Cricetulus griseus: one gene and its partner. The protein of the gene in region 1 interacts with the protein of each later gene in a pairwise test. Links are inferred from orthologs where the notes say so. Each region holds a gene or a part of one and is shown on either strand. Other genes may lie near its edges.

Region 1 (3,652 bases):
ACCATATATTCTTCCTCTCTGTCATTTATATATGGTTAATGATTGAACACAGTGTCTAATGAGGAGCGCAGTCATGTTGTATTGGTCTGAGGAGAGGGAAAGAACTGAAATGCTTATTCCACATCAGGTTCCTGAGTCAGGAGATTTTAAATGTATGCCCTATGGTGTGACCCTAGGTTCTTTGTGTAGTCTGGCCCACCCTGCCCCCAGAATGTACTGTGGGGCCCTGTGCTTTCCTGCCCCCACTTCACCCTCATTTCTTCCTGGGAAAATCCTACCAATTCTTTTAGGTTCTAGTTCCGATGGTAACTTGCTTCCTCTGGTTTTCAGCCAGAAGCATCATGTCAGTGTTGTATATTTTAGGAGACATCAGACACATTGTTGTATTCAGTGTCTCCCATCGAGTGTGTTTACACACATATCCTAATGACTTGTCATTGGCACCTAATGGGTACCTTGAAGGTTTATGTGTTGGTTGTGACAAAGAACACAGAAGAAATGGCAGTCAGAGAAGCAGAGCAATGTCTGCTGGCTCCTGTGTAGGTGCTGCATATAATCTCCGAACTTTAATGCTTATTAAAATAATGGCAGTCAACACCATTAAGGGACATAGTGACAAGAGACCAAAGCAAGAGAAACGAAAGATTTACTTTTTTCTTTTTAAGTCTGTCATATTGCTTTGGTTAGAGAAGAAAACTTACTGTCCTCATGACACAGTTTTAAACTAATATTAAAATTATATGGGGCAGTTAGTTCATCGTGTCTTAGAAAGAACATTGTTAGAGGAGTCATGGATCTGTTGAAGATGAAGATTGACTTCTGGGTTTTCCACACCCTGCTCACCTGTCACATTGTTTTCTAGGTCCGGACCCTATTTGTCAGTGGTCTGCCCCTGGACATCAAACCCCGGGAGCTCTACCTGCTCTTCAGACCATTCAAGGTACTTTACAAATGTTTCCCTGGGGCCTTAAGGGGGGGCGGGAGGGATATGTTGGAGCCAGTGCCTGCAACAATCTTTTTTTTTTTGTTTTTAGATGTTAATAAGCAAAACAAAGTTAACATCAGAGTTCTGACATCTCACTGGGATGCTAGTCTGACATTGTCCTTAGGTCCCAGCATTCTCTATTCCATGTAGATCAATTTTAGTAACCTTCAGCTAGAGGCACACCCCTAAGTGCAGAGCATAAGAGTTTCAGAGTGGGTTAGGAATATACTAGCCGTCTGGTAGAACACTTACCTAATGTGTATAAGGCCATGGATTTGATTTTTTTTTTTTTCAAGCATCACACCCTCCTTCAAAATGGTATAAATAAGTTACTACATATTTATAGTTGAAATGCAGCAATATGATCTGAGCCCTGTTGGTAGCTTTATTGACTGGAGTAGCGCTTTGGACACTTCTGTATGGACTTGAATAAGCATTCTTTGGGATTAAGAACCCTGTGCTTCTTTTACACCAAACACATAAATGTTCAACAAGACAAAATAGTATATGCTAACTTTGTATGAACTGAAGGGAAATTTCTAGTGGAGTTAGCCATTTTTCCTATGGAAATTCGATCACTTAAGAGATACTAAATATTGCTGGATTGAAATTTTTTGTTTTGTTTTGTTTTCGAGACAGGTTTTCTCTGTGGCTTTGGAGGCTTTCCTGGAACTAAGTCTTGTAGACCAGGCTGGTCTCGAACTCACAGAGATCTGCTGCCTCTGCCTCCTGAGTGCTGGGATTAAAGGCTTGTGCCACTAATACCCGGTCTTGGATTGAAACTTTTAACAGTTGAGCTTAACCTTAAAGTTGGCTAAAACTGACATAACTATACTGTCAAGAAGAAACGTTGAACATTGGCCTTTGGAAACTTTAATGAGACCTGAAGGGCATCATGGGTTTATGACCTGTGGGTTAAGGGAGGTTTTGTTAGTAGTAGGAAGATTACTGAACCCTGGTAGAGACAGGGGGTTTCTGATCCAAGACTAACCTGCTTGAAGACAATTGAGCTACTGGATTCAGCTTGGTAGGGATGTGGCAATGCAACAAACCCAAGGGTTGGATAGGAGAAAGGGTCAGGAAACAGCTAGGTATGATCCCCAAAGATGTGGGTATAGTTGATGTGCTGGGAAGGCACGTGTGAGTGTGGAAAGATGGTCATTCCCATAATGCACCAGTAGCAGTGACAGCAGAGGGAACCCTTTGATTCCTGTCTGTGACCTCAACATGGTATGACCCAGCTAGTGCTGTTTCACCCGAGTGAAATAGCATTTGTCCTTGGTGTCTGAGACCTTCAAGGTTTTAAATCTCATTGATTTCTAAGAGAAAGAGCCCCTTGTAGAGAGTAGGAATAGGCAGTGCTGAAGGCCTTGGGTGGAAATGTTTACATTAACAGTTTTCTACTGGGAATTGGTGAGGATGAACCAGTCCCTGCAACCTGGACAGAAATTCCAATGCTGAAGTCAGGACCTTGGGACATCCCTAGCAACCCTCCTTTAATTTTAGCCCAGGGCAGCTGGCCCTGGTTGCTGATCTGTCTCTATACAGATGTGTTTAGCGGTTGCTCTTGTCAATTGGTGTATTTCCTCCCCTTTGTGTCACCTGTCAGTGCATGCTACTAGCTATTGATCTTTCCAGAAATCAGCTAGAGAAAGACAGGAATGCCTTCAACTCCTGCACATGAGCTGGAACAGAAACACAGGGGAGTGTTTCATGTTCTTATCAGATTCCACCATGGAAATGGCCTCGTTGAGTAAGCAAGCAGAGATCAGCAGAATGCTGCATGTCTCCTGCTCAGCCCTTCCTGGTAGTTTTCATATGGCTATCTTGTTTTATTTTGCAATATTGGGGGCTAAATCCAAGGCTTTTGTGTATGCTGGACCACCCTGTGTGTCTTATGTCTGTGTCTATAATGTGTCCACAGCCAACTTTGGAGGCATTGAGAAGTGCAACATAGTTGATAGTCCTTTTCTTAAGTGACTCACTTGAGGAAGATGGATTTATAATTCTCCCTTCCTTCTTTCTAAACTTGCTCTTTATATTTCAGGGCTATGAAGGTTCTCTTATAAAGCTCACATCTAAACAGGTAAGAATTTAGAACTCCTAAAAATGACTGCCTTTTGCTAATGAAGCCTGATAAATATTCTTTTGTTTCAGCTAGGATTTTGACCTATGTGTTATCAAAATTGAAGGTGAAATTGATTGGGATTAGTATAGGAAAATGTGTGTAATTCCACAGTCTTCAAATAGGAAGTTTCTGAGGTTCAGAAGGTACAAACAGTGCCTCCAAGGTCTCTAGAGTTATATTGAAACTAATTTGTTTCTTCAATAAACAAATTGTATTATCCAGATTCTTAGTCTTAATTTTTTGAGGTATGTTATTTCCTTTATGAATACATAGATGTTTTGCCTGCCCCTATGCTGTGTCTCTTCATCCAATACCCATAATGGCCAGAAGAAGCCCTCAGGCCCCTGTAACTTTAATTACATACAGTTGTGAGCCATGATGTTGGTGCTGGGAATCAAAGCTAGGTCTTCAGGAAGAACAGTCAGCTGAGCCATCTCTCCAGCTCTACTCAAAATTATTGAGTAGTTCTCTTGATGGTGTATTTATAGACATATGATAAGGAATCACAAAATCTCAGGTGTAGAGTGAGATGTACAAAA
Region 2 (3,652 bases), on another chromosome or scaffold:
GCCACAGAGGATGTCGCCTGACACCTCTGCCTCCAGGCATACATACACACACACACACACACACACACACACACACACACACACACACACACGGGGAGAGGAGAGAGAGAGAGAGAGAGAGAGAGAGACAGAGACAGAGACAGAGAGAGACTCTGCGTTGTTTTGCTTTGCACCAAGATGCACTATAACGTTGATCATATTTTCTGATCAAGGCCCTCCTCCCTGGTAACCCCCTCACCTCCCTGCTCCCAGGCCCACTCACCAATCCAGTGGTGGCCATCAAGAGTGGAGTCAGCCTCATTCTTGGAGCAGATCTTGGCAAACACTGGAAGCTGCCTTTTTGGAGGAGAGAACTCAGGGAGCTTGTCAGGGGGTGCAGGAGGAGGTGGGGGTGGCAGCAGCAGGAATGGGCCCAGCCCCATGGGCTCCCGGGGTCCAGAGCCATTGAACATGCTATTCTGCAGGAAATCTTTAATGACCTTGGTCTCTTCCAGCACCATCTTGTTGTCAGGGGCCTTGGACATTTCGGTAGACTTCAGTGGGAACTGGGCCAGGAGCTTGCTGATCTCTGAATTAGAGGCACTCAGGCTATGGCTCTTGTCCTTTGTTCCCTTGACACTCTTGACCTTGGCAGCACGAAGGATGCCTGTGACTGTAGACATGGCAGAATCACAGTCCTGCCTGCTACTGATGATGGGCACGGACAGCTTCTGCTCCCGAAGCTTGTCACCAGCTGTTACAGAGGATCCTGGGTATTCAGTGCTGTCTGCCCCCAGAGGAGGCACAAGAAAGCAGGGAGCCAGCTCCCGGGTCCCCTGGGGAGTGACAATAGGTGTTGCCAGCTCCCCAGAGCTCTCTTGGACCAAGATGAGATGTTCTTTGGTGAGACTTAAGAACTCCTGCTCCACCAGCAGGGAGATCTCATCCTTGCCCCCGCTCAGCTCCAGAGCTCTGCAAAAGGTTCAAAGACATGGCGGAGTTAGTGCTCTCATCCACCAGTAGCTCTGCCAGCAGGATGCAGGCTGTGGGATACAGGCCTCGGGGAAAGAAGGTGGGGCCACAACCTGTTGAAAACCATTCTTTCCTAATGAGAAAAACCTGTTGCTTTCTCAAGAGGGAAAAATGGACCAGGTGGACACAAAGCCAATATCACCCGCTAGGCTATAGTGCTGAAGATGTCTGCCCCTTCCTCCTCAGTCCCCAAGGCAACAAACAGTAGAGAGATGGTTCACTGGGGAAATTTGCCCAGCAGCAAAGTCTGTGACTAAGCAGTTCAAAGAACAAGATCTAGAGCCTGAAGAAGTTTCCAGGAATACAATACAGTAAGTCCCCTATTGCAGGCTGGCGGACTGCACAGTTAAGACTCACAGCTGTCTCTGTAACTTTCAATCTGTGTGACCCTGAGCAAGTTGTTCAGCATCGCAGATACTCCAATATCCTGTGTGATTCCCAGGAATATCACAGAGGGGTGTTTGAACAGTGCAGACACTCTGTCACAGGGTCACACACCTGTCAGTGCTTATGTCCACATAAGGTCAGGCTCATAGTCTGACCTGACCTTGAACCTTGGATTCCACAGTGTGCCCATCTGGACATCTGTATCTACTCTTGCTGGCATGGCCTCTGATGGGGTCATGGCATCTGAATTGGAACATTATTGTGGATGACAACAACACTTGGCTGGAACCTGAACCAGTTCATACAGCTCTCCCTGTCCCTATGTTCCCCTGTCCCCCTGTCCCTGATCTCCATTAGTGATCCAACATCCCGATGGTGCTTGATGAGCTAATGAATTCCCAGCTCCTGATTACTGGTTCTCCTCAAGTGAGGGAGAAGTTGGTAACCCTGCCCTCTCAACTACCCCCCAGCAAATTTGGTGAGGGGGCACCTTCCTCCACTACATTCCCAGGGGAGCCAGGGTCCTCCAGCTTAGAAGTACCTGCTATGCATACATGAAGGTTCCTGGGAAGGATAGATAGAATTACCTATGCCTGGAATGTTCTGGAAACTTGATTCAGCAGCCACTTAAGGCACATAAAGAGAAAGACAGTTAAGAGGCAGAAGGGGAAAAAATAAAAGGGATACACGAGTGGGGCTCAGCTGCTGCGGCTTCACTGTGGGCAAACCAAAGCGTGGTCTGTCTGACAATCCACTCTCCACTAAGAAGGCACAAGAAATACCCCAAACAGTGTTCATGGGATGTCCCTGCCTTCCTGTAGTGCTGTTTGCTTATGAGGGCGGACACACACACACACACACACACACACACACACACCTTGATGCACACAGGACTGCACAGAAACAGGCAGGCTCACAGTTCACTCAGAACCAGGAGAGCAGAGCCTGCCCTTGACAGTCCACAGGGGAAGGCTCACTTCCTACTCTCAATCTCTCTTTCCTTCATACTCTTCTCTCTCCCTGGCCCTCTCGAATATTCCCTTCCTTTTGCTGCCTTTCCATGTCTAGACTTAGGGCTAAAAATAGGCCCTGCTCTCACCGCTGTGCCCCAGGAACAATCAGAGTAAAAGAGGGTGCCCCAAGTTTCGGTTCCTCCTCCTTAAAAGGAATCAGGTAAGTCTCAAGTCTTAGGGCCCAGCCACTTGAAGGACCAGTTTTTGCTTCCCCTACCCATATCCACTGCCTGGCAATACCAGCTGTGTGCCAATAGCTTTTGTCAATTAGCCTCACCCCAAGGATGCTTGCTTTTTTAACACTGTGAACCTGTCATTGTGGTCACACTTAAACAACAACCAAAAGCAGCCGTTATCTCTCGGAACTACATGCTAAATATGTATAGATCAATTGTGCCTGGGGTTTCCCTTAAAACTAATCCAGTTGAGGGAGGAAGAGAGCGAGGGAGAGGGCACAACCGACCAGCTCCTTCATAGGCTATACATGTCAGTCATGGGGAAAGCTAGAAGCAGACACATGGGGCCATTGAGATAGCCAGTCTACTGGTGTCTATATTTGGTTTCTGGGTTACACACACACACACATACACACACACACACACACACACACACACACACACACACACACTTGTCACCACTGAATCCTCAAAAGTGTCAAGTGGCAGGAAAGCGGCTTCTTTCCCTCTCTGTGCATTTGTGCCTGTGAGTGCCTGTGAATATGTATGAACTGTGAGTGTGCAGATGTGTGTACGTGTATATGCACGTGGGGGGAGGGATTTATGTGTGCTCTTGTATGTGTTGAAGCCAGAGGTCAACTTCAATCATCTTCCTCAGGGACATTATTCACAGGCTCTCTTACTGGCCTAGAGTTCATCCACCAGTTGACCAGTAAACTCCAGCAATCCTCCAGTCTCTGGCTCCTTAGGGATGGGATTGCAAGTACATTTCACTACACCTGCCATTTTTATGTGGGTTCTGGAAACTGAATTTTGGCCCTCACACTTCAAGACTGAGCCATCCCCTAAGTCCTCCACAAAAACACCTTCTAAAAGACCTTGATGTCCCTGTATCGAAACATCCCAGGCATAATCCCTACTTGACACCCAACTGACACTCTTGTCATTCCCAGCCTGAAAAAAGGTGATGGAAAAAGACCCATGGGTGCTGAATGGGAATTCCTATGCTGCCCCTTAGCACCTTGTTTTCTCGAATCTGTCAGGCCACACCCTCTTCTCAGGGTT

What was found.
Region 2: the proteins of Rbpms (region 1) and CUNH1orf94 interact in binary tests that used the Homo sapiens proteins (3 or more experiments, as listed by UniProt). The two-hybrid records come from large-scale screens. The link is inferred for Cricetulus griseus from reciprocal best matches to the Homo sapiens genes RBPMS and C1orf94.

Annotation. Positions count from the first base shown.
Region 1 is NW_023276807.1:50,950,699-50,954,350, forward strand, and holds part of Rbpms (RNA-binding protein with multiple splicing), read left to right. Parts: intron 1-862; coding exon 863-940; intron 941-3,032; coding exon 3,033-3,071; intron 3,072-3,652.
Region 2 is NC_048595.1:25,048,443-25,052,094, reverse strand, and holds part of CUNH1orf94 (uncharacterized protein C1orf94 homolog), read right to left. Parts: intron 952-3,652; coding exon 263-951; intron 1-262.